3 linked regions of the Arabidopsis thaliana genome follow. The protein of the gene in region 3 interacts with the protein of the main gene of each other region in a pairwise test. Each region holds a gene or a part of one and is shown on either strand. Other genes may lie near its edges.

The links.
Region 1: the proteins of AT4G38810 (region 3) and SNRK2.4 interact in a two-hybrid assay, tested with the Arabidopsis thaliana proteins (one large-scale study listed by BioGRID).
Region 2: the proteins of AT4G38810 (region 3) and SNRK2.10 interact in a two-hybrid assay, tested with the Arabidopsis thaliana proteins (one large-scale study listed by BioGRID).

Annotation. Positions count from the first base shown.
Region 1 is NC_003070.9:3,655,193-3,664,771, forward strand, and holds SNRK2.4 (Protein kinase superfamily protein), read right to left. Parts: upstream 3,417-9,579; 5' UTR 2,979-3,416; coding exon 2,859-2,978; intron 2,622-2,858; coding exon 2,547-2,621; intron 2,433-2,546; coding exon 2,331-2,432; intron 2,239-2,330; coding exon 2,215-2,238; intron 2,141-2,214; coding exon 2,087-2,140; intron 1,993-2,086; coding exon 1,900-1,992; intron 1,820-1,899; coding exon 1,727-1,819; intron 1,579-1,726; coding exon 1,474-1,578; intron 1,391-1,473; coding exon 1,292-1,390; intron 1,209-1,291; coding exon 858-1,208; 3' UTR 621-857; downstream 1-620. Other genes in the region: TMN1 (transmembrane nine 1), read left to right, coding at 4,130-4,219, 5,133-5,325, 5,430-5,534, 5,858-5,875, 5,970-6,067, 6,149-6,301, 6,529-6,663, 6,813-6,979 and 4 more; FD1 (ferredoxin 1), read left to right, coding at 9,253-9,579.
Region 2 is NC_003070.9:22,435,634-22,445,546, reverse strand, and holds SNRK2.10 (SNF1-related protein kinase 2.10), read left to right. Parts: upstream 1-3,325; 5' UTR 3,326-3,439; exon of another isoform or gene 3,440-3,612; 5' UTR 3,613-3,650; coding exon 3,651-3,770; intron 3,771-3,957; coding exon 3,958-4,032; intron 4,033-4,135; coding exon 4,136-4,237; intron 4,238-4,464; coding exon 4,465-4,518; intron 4,519-4,619; coding exon 4,620-4,712; intron 4,713-4,857; coding exon 4,858-4,950; intron 4,951-5,444; coding exon 5,445-5,549; intron 5,550-5,628; coding exon 5,629-5,727; intron 5,728-5,804; coding exon 5,805-6,149; 3' UTR 6,150-6,484; downstream 6,485-9,913. Other genes in the region: IRT3 (iron regulated transporter 3), read left to right, coding at 1-137; FED A (2Fe-2S ferredoxin-like superfamily protein), read right to left, coding at 536-982.
Region 3 is NC_003075.7:18,111,571-18,122,615, forward strand, and holds AT4G38810 (Calcium-binding EF-hand family protein), read right to left. Parts: upstream 7,591-11,045; 5' UTR 7,291-7,590; coding exon 7,045-7,290; exon of another isoform or gene 5,514-7,044; coding exon 5,214-5,513; intron 4,907-5,213; coding exon 4,682-4,906; intron 4,580-4,681; coding exon 4,451-4,579; intron 4,265-4,450; coding exon 4,037-4,264; 3' UTR 3,713-4,036; downstream 1-3,712. Other genes in the region: AT4G38790 (ER lumen protein retaining receptor family protein), read left to right, coding at 1-81, 447-646, 724-864, 943-1,023, 1,151-1,275, 1,359-1,407; MTN1 (methylthioadenosine nucleosidase 1), read right to left, coding at 1,785-1,982, 2,075-2,167, 2,239-2,313, 2,417-2,491, 2,734-2,840, 3,000-3,091, 3,175-3,238, 3,327-3,426; AT4G38825 (SAUR-like auxin-responsive protein family), read left to right, coding at 10,042-10,311; AT4G38820 (uncharacterized protein), read right to left, coding at 10,061-10,282; CRK26 (cysteine-rich RLK (RECEPTOR-like protein kinase) 26), read left to right, coding at 10,769-11,045.

The sequences.
Region 1 (9,579 bases), on a different chromosome or scaffold from region 3:
CGAATCGGTTAGTTATTACCCACCTATTTCAGAACTTGGAAGACAATAAAATACTCCCAAAAAAAAAAACAGGAAATTGAAGTGAATCGATCAGTCATGAGTCTAAAGGATTAATCTTTACCCATGCGAAACGAAATCCCTAATCGACAACTAAATATTAACACTCGTAGGACGAAGAAACGCAATCGGTGTGAGAAAGAACAAAACGAAAACCCTAAAAATGACTTTGAAACGAAAGCCAGGAAATACATTTTCGATTCAGTGGAGTCTCTTGCTTCTGTAACGTTGCTTTTAACACTCCGGCGGCGAAACAATCAGGGAAGTCGGCGAGACGAAGCACAGGATAAAATGGCCACCACCGACTTGAGCTCAAGGCCGTAGAAGATTATCCGGTTTCCTAATGGCGGGATATTTTCCCTCTAATATATTCACATTTCGCATCAGAAACAAAAAAACAAAAGAAAACAATTATTTTTGAATTCCGAACATTTCAATTTGATTTTTTGTTGACATTTGTATTTTATAGATTTGCATTTTCAAAAAAATGATAAGGAACGAAAAAAAATAAAAATAAGAAATCCAAAAATCAAATACATGAATCTTTTCGGAAAATAAAATCTAATTTACAAAAATATTTATTGGAGGTCACAATGTTCATAGTACCATGCGTAGCAAAGGACTCATTCTCATCATCAACCTCTCTGTTTGTTCATCTTATACTGCAAATTTTACAAATCTCCAAAACCAGAACCAAAACCTTAGCCAAAGCATTGTAAAGGCAAACACGAGAACAGAGACTTTTCAGTTTCAACAAACCAACGACGACTTCTTTCTTACACAGACCAAAAACCAAAATATCAACTTATTCTCACTTCTCCACTTGCGTGTACTTCCTTTACAGTCTTATCGTATTCATCCTCATCGTCTTCCTCTTCTTCCACCTCCTCCTCTTCCTCCTCCACGTCTTCTGCATCTTCCTCTTTTCCATCTGCATCCCCATTTCCTCCCCAGCCAAAACCTCCGATGGATCGGGAAACAGGAGGCGGTGTTTTGGCGTCAGCCACTATCTTCATGATCTCTTCAACGGTCTGAAGGGAGAAGGTTGGGTTCTCTTTCTTGAAATATGCAGCTTGAGCTGTCTCTGTGAGTTCCCTTGGCAAATTCTTTAGGAACCATGAATGTTTCTTGATTTCTGCAATGGTGATCCTCTACGAAACAACAAGTAGCTCAATTGTTCAGAAAAATCAAAAGGCATCTTTGAAAACATTTAGTTCAGTTGATTGATGTATACCTTGAGTGAATTGGCGACAAATATACGGGAAAGGAGATTTTTACAATCCTGTGAGATATGGACGTAGTCCGGGATCTTGTACTGGACAGCCATTATTTTCTGTATAACAAGATCACACATTGACGAATAGGATGTGGCGAAAGCGAGATATGCAGATACATGGCTTCAAAAAAGAAACCTACTTGTATTGTTTTCCTGAAGTTCTTGGGGTCTTCCTGGTCTTCAAATGGGTATGCTCCAACCAGCATGACATAAAGAGTCACACCACAAGACCATACATCAGCCATCTGAAAGAAGAAAAAATGCTTCAAATCTTAGCGACTTCCACAAAGATGACTTTTTAAATTCAAAAGTAAAAATGTAAAGAGCATGACAATATCATAAATACTCATGGGTTTATGGAAGTTCATTGCATTGTGCATGATGCTTGATTACCTTGCCATCATATTCTCTTCGAGAAAGGACCTCAGGTGCAATATATGCTGGAGTTCCAACTGTTGATTTGGGCCTAGAGTGCAGCAGAGAGGACTAAAAAAAAGAGAATAACAAATCACAAAAGAGGATCTCGTCGACAAGGGGGGAACTTGGATTTTTTTTTAGTGTCAGACCTTGGAATAACCAAAATCACAGATTTTCAGACGTGGAGCAGGACTTCCATCCAAGAGCGTATTCTCGAGCTTCAGATCTCTATGGCATATTTGCTGCAACAAAATAGTCAACACATGATTAAAAAAAAACGACTTCAAACAGCCAATGGATAAGTAAATTTTGCTTAAGTCATTGTCTCTACATTACCATAGCATGGCAATAGCTAACACCTGATATAAGCTGCTGGAAGAAATATCTCGCCTGGAAAAGAGAGAAAGGATTAGAACGTAGACCCTAACTGTTTAATGCCTGATACTAAATAAAAGGAGGTTCACATGTTTTCTCTTGTTCCCTTCCTCCTAATCTTTCCAAAGACCATGCAGATTATCCTAAATACTAGTAATTTCATATTCGCAAAAGCACAGCACAATTTTTCAAATGGCAAGCTCACCTCATCCTCACTAAATCTTCCAGCACTGCATATACGCTCGAATAGTTCACCACCAGCAGCATATTCCATGGCAATGGCAAGATGGGTTGGAGTCAACACCACCTATAAAATCCATAAACCCAACAAGGAATGCAAGATGAAAGATATAAGAGATTATCAACAAACTTTTTCATAGCAAGAACACCACCCATGTCAAGCAACAAGAAATTCACTAACCTCCTTGAACCGGATTATATTCGGATGGCGAAGTGATCTGTGATTAATGATCTCTCTTGCCACATTCTCATCAATCTGTATCAAAAAAAACAAACAAAGCAAATACTCATTGTACAAATCTTTTCAGGAAAAATATTACAACTACAAGATAACTAACGTTACGTTAAACACCCAATCAGCTAACGATAAGAAATTTACAAAAAAAAATCGACTCTTCTGCTTAATAGCAATTCATTCCAATTATGCATATCTGGGTATAGGATCACCAGCTCATGGAGAGCAATGAAAACACAAAAACAGAGAGGAATATACCTTAGGACCACGCTCGATGTACTTCATGGCAACAAGTTCCTTAGAGTTTTTGACCTTCATGAGCCTGGCAACTCCAAAATTCCCAGCACCTATGTCTTTCACCAGCTCGTACTTGTCCATTCTCGCTCGACAACCCTAATTCCAAACACACAAAACAGAAAGGAAAAACCCAAACAAAAAAAAAATCTCCAAAATTCTCGTTGAAATTCAAGTCCAGTTCTAGCAGCTAAGAATTTCACGTGAAAATGAAACAAGATTAAAAAAAAAAAAAACAGTATCCCAAAATCAAGGATGCGATTCCGAGATCTCGCGATTCGCAAAGAAAGTGGGAAAAAAAAAGGGAAAGAGATGACGATGGAAGGTTAATTTGAGATTTGGATTGGAGAGATTTCAAGCCTAAGCGAAGAATCAACTTTCTTTTTCTTTTTTTTTTCTTGTTGGAATTTTTCTTTTTTCTTTTTTGGGGTGAAATTAATAGAGAAATAATGATGAGAATGAAGAAGAATCTCCCCTGCCTAAACAAACTCCCATCATGTTTTTTTTTCCATTTATTTAATTAATACGAGATTTTTTAAAAGAAAGAGGGACCCACAAGTTTCCATGCGATCCATACATGTTTGTTTCCCTTGCTGATTCGAGTGTATAACTACGTTTTTTTTTGTCACCAACGCGCTTTTTTTCTCCCTAATTCAACACTTCAACTATACACTATTTACACGACACGAGTGGTCAGCAGCAAGCAAATTCGCCTTAGATTCTTTTGGTTCTATATAGAGAGAGTCATTGTCCATAAATCACATTTTTCTCTATGAAGATTGTCACTCAAACGTAACCTTTTAATGAATTTATGTCATGATTTTCATCTACTTTTAACATTTTTCAACATATATACAAAAAAAGAAGAAGTTATGTTCCCATGTGTGAGTGTATATTTTAATTGAAATGACATAGTTCGTGCGCGTATATGAAAACATTAATAGACCTTATATGGGCCGCTAAACTAATATACACTTGTTAGAACGAAAGGCCCAATCAATTAATAGAGCAAACATTAAAAGACCTTATATGGGTTTTAAACTTAATATACGTTTCTTAGTACTACAAGCCCAATTAATTAATAGAGCAAAAAAGAAGTTGTAAGCCTTATCGTTGTTTTTGTATTACCCAAAATCTCTACAAAGTGAAAACACTGAGCTGAGGATCTCGCTCTCTCTCGATTGGTATCTCTCGCTCCGTCCTTCCTCAGATCTGATCGTCCGCCGGTTTTCACGATGCCGTCTTCCTCCTCCGCCGCCGTCCTCGTGTTCCTTCTTCTCGTTTCCCTTCTCACTCCTACGTTCGCATCCGATTCAGATCACAAGGTAAGACTCGGATCTCCAGTCGTTTTTTCTTTTCTTTTAATGCAGCTCGAAATCGAGCACTGTGTCCGTAGATCCGTGATTTGCATGGTGTTTGCGATTGAATTTTTTTTCATGGATCTGTTCGTTTACGGATTGCTAGGATCCTCGAGCTTCTATTCATTGTGATTTAGGCGTATCTTTTCGTTGCAAGTCTAGGCGTATTTTGTCTATTCATTGTGATTTAGGCTTTTCACAATCTCGATTTTAATAAGAAATTTTGATGTTGGTTTGAGATTCTCGTTGATTTCTGCACGTGGTAGCCTGTTTGATGTTCAAATACTTGGATCAACACTGAGTTGTGTTGTAATTGAGTGGCATTTAATGTATTAGCATCTTCGAGATGTAGATCTTATAGTTCCGAGGTCGGGTTGATGATTTTTTTCAATTGGTATCTAAAATGTGATACTGAAAGTGTCACACATGGCTTCTTTTGCTGATGGTCAGTTTCAGCTCAAAATTGTTATTGCCTTTTGTGATATTGGAGATCATGAGATCTAGCTTTAATGCTTTTGCTCCTCTGCCTTCTTACGCTCGCAAGTAGTGTGACATTTAAAGTCGATTCCAACTATATATTTTCTGCGTGAAAGATGATAGATAAAGGCGGGTTATGCATTATTCAAGAGCAATCTGGTAGCATTATTCAAGAGCCATTATTTCTATGGAACCATCATTTGTGTGAAGACTTTAACTCCTGATTTTTGAAATGATATTGAACGTAGCCTTTATCAGTATCTGTCTGTCTACGTTTGACATTTTGTTCTGTTCTCTCTAATGGAATTTTGGTTCTTACTCTCTCTTACTAGTTAATCCCATAAACTTTTACATTTCTGTGCTTTTCTGTCAAGTCAATTTTTTTTGCCTTCACCTTTTTCAGTATCAAGCCGAGGAGCAGGTCACCCTATGGGTAAACAAAGTTGGCCCATATAACAATCCACAAGAAACATACAACTATTACAGTCTTCCATTTTGCCGCCCATCTGGAAACAATGTTCACAAATGGGGTGGTCTTGGTGAAGTTCTAGGTGGAAATGAGCTGATTGACAGTGAGATTGCGATAAAATTCATGAGTACGTTTCAATTCTTATACAAGCTTCTTTTTCATACTAGTTAACAGTTATCGTACATTCGTACTTATTCTCTAGTTACAATACCTTTTCTGTTTTTTCCACAGAGAATGTCGAGAGAAGTGTCATCTGTCCGCTTGAACTCGATGAAGCTAAGGTCAAGCATTTTAAAGATGCCATTGAATCTAGCTACTGGTTCGAATTTTTTATGGGTATGTTTCACGTCTGTTGTACATATTACCACTGAAATTCATGAAAATAATGCTGATTTATTATCTATGATGTTGCAATTTCCTACTATGTAAAGTTTGGAAACATTTTGTATCTGCTGAGTTTTCCTTTGGTTCATTTTTACATCATGCAAATCTAAATTATTCCGATATCTAACTTCACTGCATTACCAATATCATTTACGGCATTGGATGTTGTAGGATATATAATCTTACATAACTTCTTTGGATTGCTAACCTTATTTCTCACCTTTTTCTGTGGCATCTGATTGGCGTGGACTTTCATCGGGTGGTTCTAACTTCAGATGATCTACCTTTGTGGGGTATGAACTTTGTATATTTACTTGAAACATCCAAAATTTATTATGTTCTTTGTTTGTTTTATATAGTTTTAATACTGTCTCATTGCTGTTGTAGGCTTTGTGGGTGAGCTGCATCCTGACAAAAATAGTGAAAACGGCAAGCATGTTCTTTACACACATAAGAACATTGTTGTCAAATACAACAAAGACCAGGTCGGTTGTTACCACGCCATTAAGCAATAGTATGGATATCATGTGAACTACATCTGTGATCTTATGTATCTATTTTAATAGATCATTCATGTTAATCTCACTCAAGACAACCCAAGGCCATTGGAAGCAGGGAAAAAAATGGACCTGACGTATTCTGTGCAATGGATTCCAACAAATGTCACATTTGCTCGCCGCTTTGACGTATATCTGGATTATCCGTTCTTTGAACACCAGGTAACTTTTAGCATGCTATGAATTAGTCTTGTACCCTTCTGCTACTGTCTGTGATTCCAAATGGTTCACTGGTTTATAATGTATCACACTGAATACCCCATTTCATGCTTGTTCATAAGTGCAAGCCATAATTATTCTTCCAAGAATCTACCAAAGTTCTATATTCCATCTCTTCAAGATTTCTGTTCAAGCTTTATAAGCCTTCTGAGAGTTTGTTCTTTTTGCAGATCCACTGGTTCTCCATCTTTAACTCGTTCATGATGGTTATTTTCCTCACCGGTTTGGTCTCAATGATATTGATGAGGACTCTCAGAAATGATTATGCGAAGTATGCTAGAGAAGATGATGATCTTGAGAGCTTGGTGATGTTTCCTCAACTTTTATTTGTCATTAGTTGCACAATTGTTTTTTTAGCTGTTAATACTCTCTAGCAGTCTGTCCAACACTTCTTTCTTTACTTCTAAATGCAAGGCTTCATAGCCATTTCTGACGTGAGTATTGATGGGCACAGGAACGGGATGTAAGTGAAGAATCTGGTTGGAAACTTGTGCATGGAGATGTGTTCAGGCCAGCAAGTAGTCTAGTTCTGCTCTCAGCGGTAGTTGGTACAGGTGCACAGTTGGCGTTGCTGGTTCTTCTTGTCATATTAATGGCCATCGTGGGAACTCTCTACGTTGGGTATGTATTACACTATTCTTTTCTCTTGAGACCAATTTTGTGTTGTTGTTTTCCCTACATGCGGTTGGCTTGTATATTGGATTTTGCTCACCTCTTATTCTAATTATTTCAGGAGAGGAGCAATCGTCACAACTTTCATAGTGTGCTATGCTCTGACTTCTTTTGTCTCTGGTTATGTGAGCGGTGGAATGTACTCAAGAAGCGGGGGTATGACTTACTCGACTTGGCGGACCCCTCCAGTGTTACTTTCCTCTCTAACTATTCAAGTAATTTAAATGCTGGTTTATTCAGGTAAACATTGGATCAAGTGCATGGTCCTCACGGCTTCTCTCTTCCCCTTTTTGTGCTTCGGAATTGGCTTTCTCCTAAACACAATTGCCATATTCTATGGATCTCTTGCGGCTATTCCTTTTGGGACAATGGTGGTTGTGTTTGTAATTTGGGGGTTCATTTCCTTCCCCTTAGCCCTCCTCGGAACGGTTGTTGGAAGAAATTGGAGCGGTGCTCCTAACAATCCATGCCGTGTGAAGACTATTCCACGTCCAATCCCTGAGAAAAAATGGTACTTGACTCCATCAGTCGTCTCCCTGATGGGGGGTTTGCTACCCTTTGGAAGCATCTTCATTGAGATGTACTTTGTCTTCACATCCTTCTGGAATTACAAGGTAAATATAGTTTCTCTTAATAAGAACAAAGTTATGGAATTGCAAATTCTTATTCCAATTGGCCAAACCGGAGAGATTTGATTAGTGAGAGACTCTCAACTTTCAACGAAACCCCTAAAAATCTACCCCCCTTCAGCAATCTGCCTAACCAGCGTTTGTAATCCAGCCCTCACTGAATGCATATTAACCAATCACAACAGCTACATTAAGACCTACGCTAGTTGTAGTAGACTTCTAGCTAAAGTTTGAGCAGCTGTACTTCTTTAAGTAGGACTAACTTTGTCTTTGCTAATCATATAACGACGAAAGTAAATTGTAGTGGCTATTTTTGAAAGTTGTCTGTTTTTGTTTGTTCGACAGGTCTACTATGTGTATGGATTCATGTTACTGGTTTTTGTGATTCTCGTCATAGTGACGGTGTGTGTGACAATCGTGGGTACATATTTCCTGCTGAATGCAGAGAACTATCACTGGCAGTGGACTTCATTTTTCTCTGCTGCTTCGACGGCTGTCTATGTGTACTTATACTCCATCTATTACTACTACGTAAAGACCAAGATGTCCGGATTCTTCCAGACAAGCTTCTACTTTGGATACACCATGATGTTCTGTCTTGGCCTTGGAATCCTTTGCGGTGAGCTCACTCTCTTCACTCTCTTCAAACTAGCGAGTGGTGTTATTGATTTGACTAAACCTTCGTTATGTGAAAATTTTGCAGGAGCTGTTGGCTACCTGGGATCAAATCTGTTTGTAAGGAGGATCTACAGAAACATCAAGTGCGACTAGAAGAGGTAAACGGAAAAAAAGAGAAAACAAATCCAATTAGAAGGAAGCTCTTACGAGGTTATATATTATATTGAAGGAACATAATATATTCTTCAATGGGGGCTTTTTGTCTCTTCATCTTCTTCTTTTTTTTTTTTTTTTTTTCTTCCCATTTTGGTAAGTGAATTGTTCTCTTTAGATTAGAATCGAGTGGGTGTACTATACTACTACTACCTGTAATCTTTTTCCCTATCTTTTTTTGGTCGTATTTACTTCACTTCACTTAGATCATTGAATATGGTGTCATCTAGGAGCAATTGGATCATTTAATTATTGTCATGTGTTGGGCCTTGGGAGTCGTTAACTCTCGTTCATGGTGTTAATTTGGTTTCACGGGGTGAGTTTATTGGGTTATATACGGTGAAGTCCTTCTAAGAAAATTCTGACTCAAGTCTGTTGGGAAATTACATGCATTGGCTCAATCTGAAAATTTAGTGGGACCTGCAAGCAATAAAATTGCACAAAACAATTTGAAGCATATCAGCAATTCTTTTTCATAAATAGCAATTTAGAACCCAAATAAGCCTAGAATCTTCCTAGTCCCATATTCTGATGGAGACTTGTCCCAAGTCCAAACCACATATTACTCTCACCAACGAAAGAGGGCACAATGTAAAACAAAGACATAGAGACAATCACCAAGAAGATAACACAAGAGCCCACACATCGTACGCCACGTGGCAGATTCACCTCTTTATAATCCTCTCTCCCTCACGGTTTCTACGACATTTTCACAAAGCCACACCAACTCACTCACAAAATCTGTAGAATCATCTTTCAACAATGGCTTCCACTGCTCTCTCCAGCGCAATCGTAAGCACCTCTTTCCTCCGCCGTCAACAGACACCAATCAGCCTCAGATCCCTCCCGTTTGCCAACACACAATCTCTCTTCGGCCTCAAATCTTCCACCGCTCGCGGCGGCCGCGTCACGGCCATGGCTACCTACAAGGTCAAGTTCATCACACCTGAGGGAGAACAAGAGGTCGAATGCGAAGAAGATGTCTACGTCCTCGACGCTGCTGAGGAAGCCGGACTCGACTTGCCCTACTCATGCCGTGCCGGTTCTTGCTCAAGTTGCGCCGGGAAAGTCGTCTCTGGTTCTATTGAC
Region 2 (9,913 bases), on a different chromosome or scaffold from region 3:
ACATGGCTTTAGTGGATCTCATAGCTGCTGATTTCTTGAGTACAAAAATGAGGTGTAACTTTAGGCTTCAAATTGTATCTTATGTAATGTTGTTCCTAGGAGCTGGACTCATGTCTTCTCTTGCCATTTGGGCTTAATTAGAGTATAAGATTCCATAGTTTCTTCTATAGCTACAAATAACATGTATAGTTCTTTCTAGAGAATTTATCAATCTAAGATTTCACAATTGCTCGCAAATCGGATTTTTCTTGATACTTTGATGATTGTTGAGTTCAGAATAAGAACTACAAACCAAAGCTAGCTAGACTTCAAGAAAATGTATTTCCAATGTTTAAACGATAATGTTAGATTCTCATCGAAAGTGTTGCAGAATTTGCAGTTGCATAGTTTAAAATGTCATCGATTGATGGTGAGCCAAACCAGGAACAATAACAACAGATAACAATAGTTTTTAGTAACAACAAACTCAACCCAAAATGTGAAATTTATAAAGACATGATTTTTAAACCATCAAAAGCTGGTGAGTAGGTGAGGCTTAAACAATGTCTTCTTCTTTGTGGGTTTCAATGGTAACATCAGAGGTAGGGTAAGCAGCACAAGTGAGAACAAACCCTTCACCAATCTGTTCATCATCAAGGAAACTCTGGTCAGACTGATCAACAGATCCAGACACAACTTTACCAGCACAGCTCGAACAAGAACCAGCACGGCAAGAGTAAGGCAAATCGATTCCAGCTTCCTCAGCAGCATCAAGAACGTAGACGTCGTCGTCACACTCAACCTCTAGCTCACCTTCTGGTGTGATGAACTTGACCTTGTATGTAGCCATGGCTGTGACACGTCCACCACGAGCGGTGCCTGATTTGAGACCGAAGAGGGATTGTGTGTTGGCTGATGGAAGGGAACGGAGACTGATTGGAGCTGGGGAACGACGGATGAATGAAGTTCCGACGATGGCGCTTGAGAGAGCAGTGGAAGCCATTTTTTTTTGTTTTGTGTTTTGGGAGATAAAGTTGAGATTTTTGAGGATTATGGCTTGTGGAAATGGCGTGGAGAAAGATTAAAAGGTGAGAACTTTTTAGTGAGAATCCTATCTACCACGTGGCGTCTATTCTGTGGATCGATGGATTATCGTCTTTGTGTTTTATGATTTGTGTGTGTGTGATTGTGTTTGACACACTTTAAGAACACTATCTTGTTGAGGTGAGTATTACGTGGTCTTACTTGGGACAGCTCACACTTATTCGGACCTTGTTTGTATCGTCTAAATAACTCTTCGTTTGTTCCACTAAAATCATAAAAGATGTGGACTGGTTGTAACATCATATCTAGGCCGGGTTTAACTTCCAAACCGTATCAACCTGACCGAATCAAACCATTTTAACCCAATTACTGTAAATTACTCCATTATAATTATATAACGTAAATAATTGAACCTTACATAGAATGTATACCAAATCAACAAGTGAATACATAATCTCCACCTTCACACTTCAGTCAACTTCTAATGGCCTTTCAGTACATGAATAAATTGTTGGGAGAAGAGGTCATACTTGCTTGAATTGGGTGGAAGTAGTTTTCTAGTGAAGACCAGCCTCTTGGCATAACGTCGGAAAGTAGAAAAATCCTCAGAAACTTAAACACAATCAACAAAGTAGAGTATGAGACCATCTACATCGGTTGATTCTCAAAAAAGAGTTTCTCATGAATAAAATATTGCTTATTTTAATTGAATTTAGATAAAGTATTAAATTTTAATAAAAAGAATAAAATCAATCATTTCTGGAAAAACACGTGGCCATAAACATTTTTCAGAGTTTCTGAAAACAGAGACGATTCTCACTTCTCTCTTCTTTTCACCACTTTGTATTATTTTAATAATAAATATCTCTTTTAAATACTGTTGATGGAAGTGTCCTGATAGGTTTAAAACTTTTTAGTTATTTTTAATAAAAAGTGACTAAATTTTTTATTTTAGTTAAAGAAAAGTGGTTGAGATCTCTTTTAAAAACAATCTATCTATCATATCGAAATGACAAATTAGATAATCGTATTATCAAAAGCTAGATCTAACTAGGAATTGCAAGAGCATATTTTGCAGCCCCATTTCAATCTACTACATGTTGCAAATAGACAAATAGATAATCATATAGATAAAACTCATCAAGGAGATTGACTTATTGTTAACGAAACCAAACCCATGACATAATTTAGTAATGATGTAAGTGTTTTTGTACATGAAACAGTTTGCCACAAGCAACAACTGGACTTATGCCACTGAAATCAACGAAATTAGAAACCATATTAAAACCTAATCCATAGTGCCACGAACACAAGAAACCTACAACGCAGTCGATAAACACTTGCTAGAATTACGTTTCTTAAAGTTGTGCATTAGCCTTACTTCATCTATTGGGCCTTAAAATCATAAAGCCCATTACGAGAATGCAATCGTAAATGTTTTTTTTTCTTTCTTACTCAACATCTATATGATATATCCGTTATCTGTTGGGGTAGCTTAAGCAAAGTCACAACTCACAAATCTATCCATCATTCAATGTAACAAATCTATTGCTTTTTTAGTTAAGAAGAGAATTTATTTAGTTTGCATCTCCTATTATTTTAACAAAACTAATAATTTTTTGCAAATTTTAAAATTATATCTCAACTTTATACATATAATCAAAATGTGATTTCACATAGCCACATTCGGAAAGTATAAACCAACCATTCTACAAACAACCAACAAGTCAATGTTTAATTACGTTTTTCAGGTTAATTCAGAAGTTGTTCCAAATCGAATCTTTCCGTAAAAGGCAAAAACATATCTAGACAATCCAACAAGATAACTAAGTCATATTCAGATTCGTTATATAACTTATATAGCTTTCTACTGACCGTTAGTTGCAATTATAGTTTATCTAATATTAAACTAACTTTCTTTTTTGTAACTAAATACTCTCGGGTAAAAAAAGTCCTAACAATCTCATTTTTTGATAACTGGATACTTTAAGATAAAATCCAAACTAATCTCCAGCTCTTATAAAGATCCACTAGAGAATTATAGTAAACATTCTTGAGTACAAGTTGTTTTCGTATTCTCTTGATTCTTTAAAAAAAGCATATCCAATAAACAAATGATGTTCTCGTAGAATCGGCAAATTGCAAAAAGATGAAAAAATAAGAAATAGACGCAATTCTGTGACAACTAAAATATCCTTTTCACATATAGCGACGTCTCAGTCACTAAAGAACCGATAGAATTGGAATTTGTAGGTCCCACATTTATTAATATACCTCTTAAATTAACCAAAAATAATTCAATAAGTAAACTATTACTTAAATAATAAAAAAATAAGAGCCATCGTGACTTCGAGAGAAGAAGCCAGCAAGGAACGATGGAGATTATTACGGCATCATCATCATCATCATCATCATTGTAATTCGTAATCATATCTTCTTTTGGAATTTCTTCACGGATAAGAAAAAAGGATATCGACAATTTCGCTTTTGCTTTCAAAATCTCATTCTATCACTTTGTGCCTTTTTTAGCCATCGCGAAAAACCTCTGAATCGCATCCCTTGATTTTCTGGGTTTGTGACTTTGTGTAGTGGAAATTAGGCTTGTTGTTTGATTTCGCTACGAGAAAATGGACAAGTACGAGCTTGTTAAAGACATCGGTGCTGGGAATTTTGGAGTGGCGAGGCTCATGAGAGTCAAAAACTCCAAGGAACTCGTTGCTATGAAGTACATCGAGCGTGGACCTAAGGTTCTTCTTCTAACTCTCAAATTACTTCCTTTTACGTGTGCAATTTTGCAAGTTGGAGTGTTCTTCTGCTTCGTTTATCTGGGATTCTTACTTTTGTGAGCATAGTACTGGTTCATTGTCTTATAAGATCAAAGATTGAGTATGTGATTTTCAATCCTTTTTTTTCTGGTTTTGTTTTGGTGAATAGATTGATGAGAACGTGGCGAGAGAGATTATTAACCACAGATCACTTCGTCATCCCAATATTATCCGGTTTAAGGAGGTAACTGCATTTTTTCCATGGCTTCATGGTGTCATGTTTAAACCGATGGTGATTAGTCTCAGCGGAAGTTGGTATCCTAAGTTCACTGTTGTGGCATTTCCAGGTGGTTTTGACACCAACGCACATCGCCATTGCTATGGAATATGCTGCTGGCGGTGAGCTATTTGAGCGTATATGTAGCGCTGGAAGATTCAGTGAGGATGAGGTGAGCTTCCCCTGGCATTTAAAGATTTTAAGTCATGGTGGTGTACTAAATGATCAATTTCAGAGTTGTATTGTGGTCTGAGATTAATTGAGTGGAAAGGAAAGCGGAAATCTTGTAGAATTATATTTGTGTTTTGTAGTACAGGAAGCAAAAGGAATATGTGTTGTAAATCATTTGGAGCAGCTTCTCCGATTATGATAGCTTTTTGTGCACATCTTTGTTTTCAGGCAAGATACTTTTTCCAGCAGCTTATCTCAGGAGTCAGCTATTGTCATGCTATGGTAAGAGAAAGAAATGGGTTACGAAGTTTTTTTAACTTCACAGATATACATAATTTCTGCGGTATCAGTCCTTTACTTGCATTAGTTCCTTATTGTCACAGCAAATATGCCACAGAGATCTGAAGCTTGAAAATACCCTCTTAGATGGAAGTCCTGCTCCACGCCTGAAGATCTGTGATTTTGGTTATTCCAAGGTCTGCCATATATCTCCAGCATGCACTTGAATGTGCTAGTGATTTCTTAATTTATCCTGTTGTAACAAGCTCCTCTTTCTTCTTTTTCCCTCCATTTGCGAGGCCCCTTGTCACTTCCATGTGAGCTATTTTTCTTCTTTTGTAGTCCTCACTGTTGCACTCTATGCCCAAATCAACTGTTGGAACTCCAGCATATATTGCACCTGAGGTTCTTTCTCGCGGAGAGTATGATGGCAAGGTAATCTTATTGGTTTGCAAGTATTAGTATATCAAGTATGCTTAGCATCTTGATAGAGACATCATAGTTTGAAAAAATTTCCTGCGTAGTAATGTAGCTCTTTCAACTTTTTCTCATGCATAATATGTTTATACATCAAGAAGGTATCGCCCATATTGGCAGATATCTGCTGTGGCCTTGATAGATTTGGGCAGTAAACATGTCTTTTTAATTATCCAGGACCAGAATGTGTTATTTTTCCATTTTTTATCATTTAATCGCCATTCCTTTTTTGCATTTCTCGACTCTTTAAGTGCGTTTGTTCATTGATAATTATAAGCTTTCTAGCCTTGAGCCATGCATAAAGAATTTTTTAGAAACGCAATGGATCCCAAATACTTATCTTGACCCATATGCTCTATGAAATTGTTATGATCTTATTGTTTGGATTTGGAAACATCAACTTCACAGAAATCATCAGAGTTTTGGTACTTATATTCTTCCTTCTCACTCAGATGGCTGATGTATGGTCTTGTGGTGTGACTCTTTATGTCATGCTGGTGGGAGCATACCCATTTGAAGACCAAGAGGATCCCAAAAACTTCAAAAAAACAATACAAGTAGGTTTCTTTGTTTTTGCATTCTTTGCTTAAGAGTTGACACGACACCACCACTGATCGTTGTGCCACATTGTTACAGAGAATAATGGCTGTCAAGTACAAGATCCCGGACTATGTCCATATCTCACAAGATTGCAAACATCTCCTCTCCCGTATATTTGTCACCAACTCGAATAAGGTATCATCACTCTGTCGAAAAGCTTGTCCATCCTTTTTGAGATAATTACTTGTATAACTTATCATTTTTCTTGTCAGAGGATTACGATAGGTGACATCAAGAAACATCCATGGTTCCTAAAGAACCTGCCAAGGGAACTTACAGAAATAGCTCAAGCTGCATACTTCAGGAAAGAGAACCCGACATTCTCACTCCAAAGCGTCGAAGAGATAATGAAGATTGTGGAAGAGGCAAAAACTCCAGCTCGTGTTTCTCGGTCGATTGGAGCATTTGGGTGGGGAGGAGGAGAAGATGCCGAGGGCAAGGAGGAAGATGCAGAGGAAGAAGTTGAGGAAGTAGAAGAAGAAGAAGACGAAGAAGATGAGTATGATAAGACGGTGAAGCAAGTGCATGCTAGCATGGGAGAAGTCCGAGTCAGTTAAAAAAAAAGATTGATTTTCTTTTCACGAAAGTATTCTAAAACCAAAAAAAAAAGAAAAAAAAGTTTTCGTTGGTCTGTCGAATTTGTCTCTTGCTCTGTGTTGAGTTCTTATTTTCTTTTCTTGGTCATAATTTTTAAGGTTAGTCTCATAAATGCTTTGGAATTTTGCTTCTGAAAATCTTGTAAAATCTGCAGTAGAAGAAAGAACAAACTGGTTTGATGATAAGTTCGGTTTGGGCGAATAAAATATTTTGTATATTATATGGTCTATTTTGCAAATTACCTCAGATTTCACCTTGTTTATTTTGCTAATTAATTTTCATATACAAACAGAGCTTAAAAATTACAATTTACAACATTTTTATACTTGTGAAATTGAAATCTCGTGTAATACTATTTTGTCATGTTATAATTTTTCAAAAATTTATCGTTGCTGTTTTTAAAATATGGATTTAAAACCGATACATGGAATTATTTTCCTTTGAAATCAAAATATATTTGTTTTTGATGTCTGTGAAAGTGAGGGAGAGAGAGAGTGAACCTTTTTAACTATCCCGCCATACGAAAATCGCAGAAAGCTGTAATTGGAGACGCGCTCTTTCTTCTCTCTCGCCTCGTGATCTTACCGGAAAAGTTTCGTCGCCGGAGTTTCACTATTTCGCCGCAGAAGCACTAGAGTTTCATCTGTTTGAAAATGTAATCTCGATCTTCCCGTTTCCCAGTCATTTCTAGGGGTTTTTGTTCGCTTTTTCTCACACCGATTCATTTGCGAATAATTTTTGAGTGTATTGTTCGGTGTTCGTCTGTGTGTAAAGAGGAATTTTCGTTAGTTATAGCAGAATCGCTTCATCTTCTAGTTGGAGAACTTATTAGCTTCTGGATTTGGTTAGTTCTTCGTTTTCCTATGCATAGATTTTGAAATTAATCGTCAAATTCGTTGTGGTGTATTGTAATTGTCATAGCGATCATGATTACAGCTCAAAATCGGCACAATTGTATCTTCCAGCTGGTACAGTATGCAATTTCTGCAGTTTATGTTACAATTTCATCAGATTCAACTAATCGCAATGCCACTTGTTTTGTTTTTGTACAGTAAATGGTGGTGACAAGAGGAGATAAATTTGCTGGAAGCTCTTTGGCATGTAAATCTATGATCGGTGCTAATAAAATGAGGCAAAATTGATCATATCCCTGTCCATTTTGGTTTTATAAAGAACTTTTCACGGATCTTTTGTTTTATTCTTCCTGATTGTGTAAATGCAGTGGGAGTCATCTCCATGAAGTTAATAATTCCAGAAGTCACTTTCCTCAAACAAATTGGTTGAAAGTTGCCAAGGCGTTTGAGTGTATACCATCCTTAAATAAGTTTATGGGCTCCAATTTCCTTTACTCTCTAGAAAGTCAAAAGCTGGGAAGAGATAGAGAAATGGCTGCAAGGTAATGCATTATCTTCTTTTGAGGACCAATCAGCTATTTCTGTATGTTTTTCTTGCGTTTTTGTATCCATTTCTGTTCAATTGTTTGGTTACTGGTGAAGATTACTTATAACTAATCCCGCTGACTTTATAAATAGTGTTTCCACCACGCTGTAACATCTAGCTTTTCCAGCTTCGTTTGAACCTGTGTTATTGCTTGTTCTGATTCTGGATATAGGAGATCTTGAGCTAGAATAAGGCTATTTCTTTATGAGTGAAAATCCCGTATTCATTCTTCAGTTACTTCCAACACCTCCAGTTAAAAGAGAGCTAGTTGTTCATAATATCATCCTTTGATCTTTCTAGTAAATAATTCAGTGATGGAAACTCTTGTGAGGTTTTCTCTGTTGTCTTCAGGTATTAGTCTGTTAGCTGAAGTGGTCTGAAAAACTTGTTTCTCTCTATGTCTAGGTCAATTGAAAACATCGCTCCTGTAACTGTACAAACTTTGGCACGACCACAAATTGAGAAGGTACTATAGTTGAAGGAAAACTCTTGATGGTAACAGAATTTTAACGTAATCCAAACCTTTCGGCATGTTTGTTGTGGAGGATTTTCTTGTCTATAGCGTACTTTCTTCCATTTCCTGTCTCTGAATTTTGGTCACCATTGCAATTAAATTCTGGTTTTTGTCAGATTGATTTTCCCCTGGCAGAGAAGCCTTACTTCAATCATTGTACATATATATAACTTTTGTTATCCAATGTTTTCAGGCTTGGTGTACTCTTATAAATCTATCAATAAATAATACCTACCTGAGACCTGGCATTACTCCTGCAATTGATAATGACAGCACTAGTCGTACATCTTCTACGAAAGGATCCACTTTTAAAGTTACATCCAATGCTGATGGATCTTTCTGCGCACACAATCATCCAGAGCATAGTCAAAGGAGTGTAAGAGGCACTGCAAAATCAATTGACAGTTTCTCCTCCTCTTCCGTAGGTGATAATAAAATAATTATTGACAAGGTTCCACGGGTCAACTATGAGGTTAGAGATTCAGTAACTGTTACAAATGGTATGGAGATGCCACCAATCAAAAATTCTGCACAACTAGCCAGACCGGTGGAGCCTAGGGAAGTTAGTCTTGGTGAGATTGATTATGATGACATAATGGAGGTAATATTCTTTATACAACTAGGGAAAATTTTTAAAATCATAAGTACTTTTTCTATGAGAACAAGAAACTTTTTCTCAATTCGGATTTGTAGTACCAGTAAAATGTAACATATATTATGAAAAAGTTTGTGGGATACTCTTTACAGAGTTTGCACCATTTTTCAGTGAACTAAAATGAAATCTTTTCATAATTACTTGTGCCGAATAACAGAATAGATTAACTTCAACATGTGCTAACTTTGGAGCGCAGATTATTGACGTAGACCAGATTGCGATGGAACACTGCCCTTCAACGTGTACGAAGCAACCATCAGTATCTAAGTTTGTGGATATATTTACTTCCAGAAGAGAAGAAGAGCAAGGTTTGCCTCCTGAAATATGTTCCAACTGTAGTCATGGAATAAAGGTATGCTACCAATTCTCTCATTTTCTCCATAGTTACTTCATAAACCAATTGGGTTTCTCATGTTGTTTGCTTTGATATCCACGCAGCTAGGGCTTTGTCCTGAAGCTTCTACCCATGTGGAACAAATGAAGGATACGCTGCTTGCAATATCAAATGAAATCCTCGACAATACTTATGACCTGGGCCCTGATCATGTTGAACAGCTTCATCAAAAGAGGTTCGCATTCCCATCACTCTTCAACTATATTCCCTTTTTCTTTGCTTTGTCCTATTTGGAAAATGATTTAGCTTCTTCAATAGGCTGTAATACATTACACAGAAAAGTTGTTAGGAACTTATACAGCAAGAAGGAATTAGATGTAAGGACTAATGAAACATCTGATATCATGTCTGATTTTTTTTTTTTTATCTCGTTAATTGCATCACAACTGAGAGTATACTTTGAGTTCTGACGTAGTTTCTAAGCTTTTGACACTTGTATCGTTGCTAGATTACTGTTGAAAAAGCAAATCCAGCAGCTCGAGATCCTTATCCATAATAAAGAAAGGAAAAAATCTCAGTGTTTGGTATCTATACCTTCTCATAATACTCAGTATGAAACACCTCAAACAACAAATCTTGAGGTGGTTTATGGGCAGACAGATTCTCCAACTCATGTAAAAGAGCAAGGCAGATGTGTAACTGATAACTGGAATATGCCAAGAGACTATTTAGTTTCTAAAGAGAGGTATGATATTTCATCTGGTTCTGAAGAGAGGGAACA
Region 3 (11,045 bases):
TCTTCGTTGCCGCTGAGGCTGTTCATTCCATCGGGATCTGTGTGCTCATCTACAAACTCATGAAGGAGAAGACCTGTGCCGGTACTATTCTATGTGTCTTGTCTTTATCACATCCATTTTTAGGGTTTTTCAACTCAGTCCTGCCTTATCAGCTTCTGATCGTATGTATTCCTCTGTTCTTAGCAAAATTACTTTTCAACGTCACAACTTTTTTGTTTTTCCTCATAATCGCGTCCAAATTTTCGAGCTTTGATCAGGATTTCATTGGTTTACCACTATTATCTGCTCCCGGAAGCAGCCTTTAGCCGTAATTCGTAGAATCATCATCTTTATAATCAAGGATTCAATTGGCAATTTAGGGTTTAAGATGCATTCTATGGTTCTTTTTTTAAATCGAAAGTGTTTACCTTCGATGTGTTTATATAACTTTGTGAATGATTTTGCAGGATTGTCACTGAAATCTCAGGAGCTTACGGCGATATTTTTAGCTGTTAGGCTGTATTGTAGCATTGTAATGGAATATGATATACATACCATTCTTGACTTGGCTACTTTGGGAACAACTCTCTGGGTTATATTTATGATTCGTTTCAAGTTAAGAGCTAGTTACATGGAGGACAAAGACAACTTTCCTCTCTATTATGTGGTAAGTCAATCTGGTTTTGATCCTCGAGTTGTTTGTTATCATTTACAGTGACAATGATCTGATTTCAATTTTTGCAGCTTGCGCCCTGTGTTGCATTAGCTGTGTTCATCCATCCATCGACCTCTCATAACATAATAAACAGAATTTCATGGGCTTTATGTGTATACCTTGAAGCTGTTTCAGTACTACCTCAGCTACGAGTGATGCAGAACACAAAGGTCACTACTTTATTTCACAATGTCAAGTAGAGAACTACATTTGTTTTACTCTCTAATCCGCGTCTATTTGGTTTTCAGATTGTTGAACCGTTCACGGCTCATTATGTTTTTGCACTTGGAGTAGCAAGGTTCCTCAGCTGTGCCCACTGGGTTTTACAGGTTAGTTTTGATCTTCAAGAGTGGATAGAGGTTATACCAATAGTGGTGATTCCTATACTCGATTGGATTAGTACCTTAAAAGTCGATTTTGAATAGCTGAATACATTGTCTAATGTGCTGAAAATAGGTTGTGGACACGCGGGGACGGTTGCTTGTAGCATTGGGTTATGGATTGTGGCCATCAATGGTTCTGATCTCAGAAATTGTTCAAACTTTCATCTTGGCAGATTTCTGTTACTACTACGTCAAAAGGTACGCATTAGTCCTTCACTTCAACAGTTTAGCTATTTAGCTCTTTGTATATATCTCAAAAGTTTCAACATTTTTCTTTACAGCGTTTTCGGAGGCCAGCTTGTTCTCCGGCTACCGTCTGGAGTAGTATAAGTTCAAAAGATAGAAATACCCCAACGATGTCCTGCGATGAGCTTGACGGAAATTCTAATTGGGAAAGATAGCTCAATTTTTCTTTACCTCTGATTTCATCGTTTATGTGTCTTGAGGTTTCACCAAGTGTCTCGGTTACGAATTAATTTTACAGTGTTGTATATTTTGCCTATCAAGGGATTTAACGTCTTTCAGGTCGATAAGTTATCTTTGAAATTGTTTCTTTACCAAAATTTAAGCAACACTAGGGAGAGAACGTCTTATAACTTGAAATTTATTAACGAGAAATATGATCACTGGAAATCAGTGAAACTGCAACAAGCACGTTGAACGCATTTTAAAAAATCACTCTCCATAAAAAAGGAAGAGAACAGAAGTTAAAGGTCCGAAAGGTTTCTCCCATTGATGAAGTTGATCACTTTAGTAGCAGTTCCCTCTAATGCAGCGGTCACAACTGTCAAGTTCTGCAAGAACTCTTCTGCTGTAGGTTTATCTCCGTCCACTAGATCGGTCACGGCTTTGAGGAACACGACTGGTATTTTCAGAAGATCAGCCACATACGCCACGGCAGCACCCTGAAGAATCCAGAGCCAAAAGAGTTTCAAAACAACAGTTTCATTGATTTTCTGGTTAGATTCAGTAATAAGAATTGTTAACATTACACTACCTCCATGTCCTTTAGCGTAGCATCATTGGCAATGATCAATGTTTCATCTTGCGTGGACATATCCAACGAGTCACCAGTAGATAACCTGCCAATCTGAACCACCCCAATTTTGTCAAAATTGAAATAGTTAAAAGAGTAAGTAGCATCTTGAGTCTATTAAATACCTTCAAATTGAGTTCCTTGAGGAGATTGGGTGTCGAGAATGCCTGACGGAGACCAACTCCATACAGATCAAACATCTAGAGAGATAAACAAACATTGCTCAGGAACTTGCAAGATGAACTGGCAAAAAGGGAATCATCACTAAAGATGGAAAAAAGAAAGAAAGGAAGATGAACCTACCGGAATTGGTATTCTTCTATCATGAAACACAACATCAGATACAAGGAATACATCGCCTATGTTGGCTCCTTTGACCTGCAAATGTTCAGCCAATCAGCACTTTCATTACATGAAAATAAACCAACTTTCACAACATAAAAATAGAGATATGGAGAGAGAGAGAGATCTTTTATGATGCAACTCAAATCTCAGAGTTGAGTAAACGAGCAGTAACAAAATCAAACCCAAACCACAAGTAAAGAAAGAAGAGAGGACGTGGTTCTTAGCAAGGATGCTGGAAGTCAAGACAGAGCACACGAGAAGTAAAAGAACTGTACCTTGAAGCCACCGCAGGTTCCGGCATTGATTATGATGTCAGGTTTTAATGCTTGGATGGAAGCAAAAGTTATGAGAGAAGCTGGAACAGTTCCAACACTATCGATCCCTGGAGAGAAATCTCAGTTAGTAGCATAAAAAAAGTGCATTCATTTTCCCTCATACCAAACAATGCAGCGACTTGAGAAACCAAAGCTACTATACTAAAATGCTGAGAGATTCACAGGCTAATTATCATATCTTTGAGAGCATTGAGTGCAAAGCTTACCTAAAGCTGCATCTCTTCCGGGGCAAACTACATTGATTCGAAGATCTTTATGCACGCCGTGATACAGAACCCAGGGCAATCCTTTACCAAGCCTGCAAAAAAGTAAACTTTGAAGTGAGAGATTCATGGAGATCAAATCCAAACAAGCAAAATCGAAAAAAGGAGAGCTCTTAACGGCGAATCAGTAGTTTCAGAGAGTCCGAACTTGTTGACCAAAGGAAGAGCCTCCGCTTGCATAGCTGCAGCTCCGTCAGAAACACACAAAAAGTAAGTAAGAAGACGAAGAAGAAATCGATCGAATCGGAAACTTCATAAATCATAAAGTACCGATGACGAAGACGACTGAGGAGATCGGTCGAAGAATCTCCGATTGAGCATCGACCTCAGGTTCTTCGATGTCACTTAATCCATCTCCATGAGGAGCCATAACCTTATCCCTCTCTTCCGATTCTCGGCGATGCGTTTGATTCCCAGGAAAAATCCGAGAATCGGAAAGAAACGGCTGGAAACTCCGGCGAATGAGAGATACAGTTTATTCGTTTTTGGACCTTTTGGTCCTCTTTTGTGTTTCCACTTACCAATAATAATATAATAAAAACAAATTATTTTTTTGTGCTAATGACCGTAATTAATTAAATTTAGCTAAGTTTTTGTACTAATCTGGTCTCCTTGTAGTTTTAGCCAAGCTCTTGTAATCAAATTTTCAAATTCTTCAATTAACTTCAGAATATTTATTTCACACTTTTAAAGATAACTCAAATGTTTCATCATAGCCATTCAAGCATCATAAACGTAAACAAATTTTAACGAAATTAAAAAACAGAGTAAACATTGCATCCCATGGTCATTAGAAAAAAAAAAAAAAAGGCATGAGTAGAATCACCACACCAACAAGAGGAAACCCCAAACTTTCAATTTTATACATCTGAAAGTAAAGACGGTTTTCCTCATTAATCTAAAACTTTTGGGGGTAAACACTCAAAAGTCAAAACCATATAACATTTGTTGCTGCTAGTGCTGCTTATTCCCTTCTATGATTAGTTTGAAGGCTCCTCTGTATCAGTCGAAGTTGACGGCAGAAAGGTAGCCGAGGTGAGCGGCTCGTGAACCACCGAGTTAGAGGAAACCGATATGGGACTACCCTCGAGCTGCAACATTATACTCCCCAATATCTCTGCCATTGTTTTCTTAAACTCTTCTTCCTTCACCACATTTCCATCATCTCCATTCACCATCTTCAACGCTTCCATTATCATATTATCCATCTTATAAACAAAAACAAACTTAACTAATCAATGCCGTTCAAAAAATAAAAATAAAAATTCACTAATAATTTTTGATTAAAACACTAATTCTGGTTTCATTTGTTTAACAAATAATTGTAACATGTAAATTCAAAGGCAAAATAAACAATTTAAAAGACAAAATAATTTAGACGGGGCATTATTTACCTGGGACACAGCGCCTATTGGTGGTAAAGTGGCCGATGGTGCAACAGTGTCAAGCACAGCTCGTAGATATCCTTTAGACACCTTACCCTGACGGTCTTTTGGAATCGTCTCCATGGCAACGTTTAGTGCCTGCGACCAAACCGTTCCGGATCATCATCACTCGTTACCATCATTTAAAAAGTTTTCCTTTAGCATAAAAGCTAGATAACATATATATGTATGGTAGTTTACCTTATCGAATTCGAATTTATTGGACAAGAGCCTCCTGATACCGCTCCCATCAAAGGTGTTTTCGCTGTGAGCAACGATCACGGGCTGTTCATTGAGACGCTGAGCCACACTCTCCACGACTCTCTTGAATGCTTCCAAGAATCTCTCCTGAGACGCGCTTTTCTCTCTTTTATCTTCTTCATCAAGACAAGAGTCAACAATTGGTTCTACGATGTTGCTCATCACCTGTTACAAGGACTTTGCTTTTTAGGCAAAACTCAGTTGTCTCTAGCAACATATATAACATCAAATACGAACTTGGATACATATTACGTATCATATGTACTCCCACCATGTAAGTATCGTTCTGATATTTTGTACAACAAAAAAAAAACACCCGAAAAGTATTTTTACGGTTTTGGTAAAAATACAAAAACAAACGGTTCTTAATATTATATGCTTTATTTTATCAATCATATAAATTTAGATTTGAAGTTAAATTAGGAAAATCCATAGCTTAACAGAAATATATAAAAATAAAATAAATAGGTACCCATGGGTCGTTGGAAGGAGGCATTCCATGATCAACAGAAAGAGACTGGAGAGCTTTGACGATACAATCACGGAGCGATGCGTCCTTGCTACTGGAGAGCTCTGAGAAAACAGAAATGCTCTCGATTTCATATCCAGGGCCGTGGACAAACTCCGAGAGATCCTCACCGTCCATCCTGAGGATGACGATAGGATCACGTTTCAGACCAGCAGCCATACCCAACAAAATGTCCGACAACACTTCTTTGAACTCTGTCTTGCTCACTTTCTCTTGACTCCCATGAGTGAATTCGTTTAGGACCTGTATATAGTTTATTATAACGTTACAAACGATGAAAAATAAATGTACGGATAAGACAGCTAGAGGGTTATTGGTTTAATCTCGTTGTCTCTTCTTTAAATACACCAAAAGCTAAACCTAACGATAAGTAATTGGATACTGATTTGTATCCACTAAGAGAGAGATTCGTATTCAGATTTACTACTTCTTCTTGGATATCTTTGCAGCTAATAACTACAAATCTACAATCAATGTCCTCTTGATCTAATTAATTAATCCACGTGATTCATGCGAAACACGACGTAATTTGGGGTTTCCATGTCGATAAAAAAATATTACTATTGTACTTGTAACTTGTTTTTGGTCCACTAAATAGTTTTTGTGATACTCATACTCGTACGTTTTTTTGTTGGATATTCGTAAAATAGGAAACGGCGTTTGATTTCGTCACAGATTATGTCATAAATAAGAGGATTGAAAAATGTGATATGGGATATTGTTTTTAAAAAATGTCAAGAAAGTCTTGAACGAAAATGAAACCTTACGCAGACCGAATGCTTAAAAAGATAAAAGCTTTAATTGATAAAATATTAATTATTTGAAAAAGAAACCTTTTTTCCGTCAAGAAAGGACAAGCATTATACTGGAAATTGTTGAGTTCACCTAAATTGTATGAGTTTAGCCAAACTAAATAAATAGAGAAAAATAGTCATACATAAGTAAATAACGAATAAATAAACAAAATACTATAACAGTCTTTATACAGTAACTAGTAAAATAATAACTAGGTGATGATTTATAAAGCGATGTTTCAACACTGAAACGACAGGAGAAGAGCGACACGAGGGGCTAGTTTGAGATATGATAGAGGATAAGGTCACCGACCAAAGCTATTATCATTTCTTTAAAACAACTAACTGATTCTATTATTTTTTGACCTAGTTTACTGTAAAGAAAAACACATTTTAATATTAGAAAAAAAAAAATATATAGGATGAATCCACCAGACCACCACGTAAGTATCAAGAAGATAACTTAAACAACTATGGTAAAATGGTTGAGGTTTTCTATATATAATTTTATATGATTTACGACTTAGTATGACCTTTCGAAGATCCTAAAAATCTATGCACAAAATGGCGAGAGTTAAACAACCTGTGTCCCTCGGTATGAGAGGTTCGACTCCATCTCACAGACTAGTGACAAAGTTAAAGAATTTGCAAAGGGCATATATAGACCCCAAGAAGAATTGTTAACAGTTAAATGAATACTGAAATCAAATAAAAATAAAGATGTAACACAAAAATTAGATGCGAACATTTCTAGTTAGTAGTTAGTACGCCGGCCAATTTGAAAACATTTCTTACTAGCATTAAAATATACGGTAATCGGAAAAAATCAAAGATCACATGATAACCAACAATTGAAAGATCAATAATACAGGAAAAGTGATTAAGAAATTAAAATGCTAACATATGTATATGCAAATTAGTCGGACTGGACCATAGATCACGAATATAAAAGGTATTAAGAAAGAAGAAAAGGAAATTACCTCGGAGTAGATGTGATCGGAATCAGGAGAAGTTCCTTGAGCAGGCAAACCAAGAGCAGCGCCGATATCAGCAACGGCGGGTTGTAACTCAGTCACGGAGAGCTTACCATCTTCATCTTGGTCTAACTGTTGAAACTTTTGTTCCACAAACTTGTCGAACACTTTCTCGTTTTCCACCAGCTCAACTATGTCCGAGCCATCAAGTACTTGTTGCTGTTGCTGGTGGTTGTTGCTTTTCAAGTCCATTTATGGAATCTTTGCTTCTTCTTTCTTTATCTTTACCTTTCTTGAGTCGCGAGAGCCTTGTGAGATATCTCGTGATGGAAGCACGAGAAAAGGAAGAACAGAAACTTGACACACCCAAAAGAAGAAGGAAAACTCCTTTTTTTCTTTAAATCCAAGTGTGTGTGTGTATGAGTATTTTGTTCTGATTTGGTTCGGACTTGCCTGTTCTTTATATGTGTATAGAAGTCAGGAAAATATTAGTTGTTAATTAAAAATGATTAAAACAGAATTTATAAATTTCTTGCTATTTATGACTAAATTTATATATATTGAGTTTCCGACAAAAAAAAATATATATATATATATATATTGAGTTCATTTTATATTTGTGGACTCGCCACCACCAAACGTATATTAACCATATATCCTTAGCTAGACTATAACTTCGAAAGCATCTTGTGTTTTTTTCCCCACCTAAGATTACCTAAACTAATCTGTCATAAAAGTCTAATTTAATATTCATGAACTTCTTTATCCAAAAAAAATCATTGAATTTCCGTTCGCGTTTTTGTCATTTTTTGTAACATGATTACATGACCGTATCTTTTCTTTTACATAAACTTTTCACACAATCTGGATTACTTACTCATGGGGCGTGTTAGGTTCGCTATTTAACTTCAGTAACCGACAAGAAAATCATAAAGAACACGATGTTTAGTCATAATGACTGTGTCTTTTTAGCCAATGGTCGGTTCCTTTTTAATATCTTTTTCCGACTAATGTTTGGCTGTATCATTTTTTTGAACTTATATTCCGACTACTTGTAATTAATAATATTAGTTGACATGTAATTAAATACACGATCATGACGTATTATAAATAGAGACCGACGAACTAAGCAAACTCCAGAAAACATAAATGGAACATCGAACAATCTTGACCACTTAAGCTACTATGTGGATGTGGTCCGTATGACACGGGCAATAACACTTGTGTGCATACATGCCAGTCCACGGATAAAAATATAAAATCAGTAACCGAGTCGTGTGAATTAATTATATTTTCCACATAACTGACGGAGCTAAAGATTTCTGACAAGAGCAATTTACCCTCTTGATTTGTGATGACGTGTCAATCGTTGATGAAAAATCGTGGGGACACTTGTTGCTAATTAATCCTTCTGTGTTCGTCCTTCATTGGTCGGCGCCTCTGAGCTGGCGTCAAACACTTCAACCAAAGTCAAAGCCGGCCGGCTCTAGTGCGGCTATCTATGGATTAAGCAGATTTTCTAAATCACGGCAATTAAATTATTAGATTTTTTTTTTAATTGACGTGATTTTTTAATTATTAATAAAACGGAGAGAATAATTCCAAAATTAAGATTTGACATTATTTTGGATTTCACAAAAGAAAAAGAAGAAAAACCAAAAACATATATATATATATATATATATATATTTTGAATAATAGATAGGTTAAATTTCGAATTACTTTCTATGTTCTTTTGTAGATGTAGATATAAACCTAATGCCGACAAAAAAATGAAGAAGATATAAACCTAATAATTAGAAGTGGAGGGGTTGTTACCATACACATTCTTCAACGTAGGATAGATTCATAATAATTTTAACAAGAAAACAAAATGTAAAAGGACAGAATCCCTAACATTTCCCTTTTCTGGTACAAGCTACAAAAGGCGACTATGCCATCTTTACAAAACAAGAGGAAATGAGATATGAGAGACCAGATTCTACAACTTTGTTCCACTCCAAGTAGCTTTCACTAGATTGTAATACCTTTTCGTTTTATATTTTTGCTAAAACCCCTTTTGTTTTGTTAAATACCTACCGAAATACATACTTTCGATCCAACTTTTCTTATACGGGACTGGAAATGGTTTACGCGGGCCGGGATCCATACAAAAAATGTTATAAGTTTATATTGTATCACTGAGAATTGGGCTTCGTTCTGATAAATTTTGAATTAAGGCCCAATCACACAAGTAGAAACGCGCTATCGGCGATAAGCTGTCGATCTCGCAATTTTCCCCATTCGCTTATTTCTTCTTCGAACTACAGAGGGGATCCTTGAACGCCATGCAGTTTTTCTGCGAAAGAGAGAAACATCGTGTTATTTAGTTGGTTGCAACTAGTAACGGGATCGCTAATCCCATAAAGCGCCACACAGTTAAGGTGCAGAGAGAAGAACGACGTGTTGTTTTAAGCGTGAAAAAACGGCGGGCCCTCTGTCTTTTCTATTTCTCTCTTCTCAACACTTGCAGGACAGTGCCCTCACGGATAATATGGAGGGTTAGTCAGATGGATAATGGATTATCAATTATGTGTAGCCACTTGGCTACTTGACTCAGTGACTTAGACTTTTCAGGTGCTGTGTAGGTATATAACATAAAGGTCCCACGTACATCATCTACATACCATTCCAAAGAGATGTATATGTGCCATCGACAATTTCATGTGAAGTGCGCTCGAAGTTGTTGTTAGTCTTCTAGTGTCATGAATTCTTTTCAGATATAATCCATATTCAATTATCAGTTTATAACATGCAAGACAGAGCCATGTGAATTCTTCTTATGCATGTCCCACTCTTGTATAAGAAGCCCACGGTTTCTATCACATGAACGAAATTGGTTGTATATATATATTGCATTGTTTTCATATCGTGAGCATAACAACTTCTTCATCTAATCTGATAAGCTAAAGGAGACTTCTAAGCTGAATCTTTTTCCAGGATCCATCAGAGCAGAACAAAAAAATGGGAGTGTTCCGAGGTCTTATGGGCGCAAAGAAGATCTTTCAAGGTCGATCAATGGCAGCTTCGACACCAAAAGGGTTTCTTGCAGTGTACGTTGGAGAAAGCCAGATGAAAAGATACATAGTGCCAGTCTCATATTTGAACCAGCCTTCATTTCAAGCTTTGTTGAGTAAATCTGAACAAGAGTTTGGGTTTGATCATCCAATGGGCGGCTTGACCATCCCTTGCCCTGTAGATACATTTATCACCGTCACTTCTCAGCTTCATTAGATCCAATTCACAAGGATCACATATATGTAACAATTTTTGAGGTCATTAATTAGATGTAGAAGATATTTAGAACCCAGCTGTGTAATTACTTACATAGAAGATAACATTTATCGTCTGATATTTGCCCCATCTTTTCTCCTTCAACATTATATACTATAATTTAGGGGAACTCTGACAACATGCTGATTAACAAGTAGTTTTTATTTGCTGACAAGAAACAGAACAAGTTGTGCATTACAACATAAAACTATACTCGCCATCCGCTCCATGACATTGACACGAGCGTCTAAAATCGATAAACAAACTCATAATTCTATGAATTATTGTCGAATTTTCAAAACAGCCTAGCTTACAATAAACAAACGTTTCAAAGATGAACAGAGTCAAAGGTCAACGCCTAATGGCGTGTTAAATCCCGTTCTAACAATTTAGACAATGATCAACAGAAATAACTCAGATGTTGTCTCTTCTTCTTCCTCTGATCTCACTCTTATTCCAAATCCAATGCTTCACCGTTAAGTCGCAACCGGTTCCGTTAAACCAAATATGCTCAAACGTCACAGGCAACTTCACCGTTAACACCCCTTACGCCGTCAACCTCGACCGCCTCATCTCCTCTTTATCATCTCTCCGACGTAACGTTAACGGATTTTACAACATCTCAGTGGGAGACTCCGATGAAAAAGTCAATTCAATCTCACAGTGTAGAGGCGATGTCAAACTTGAAGTTTGCA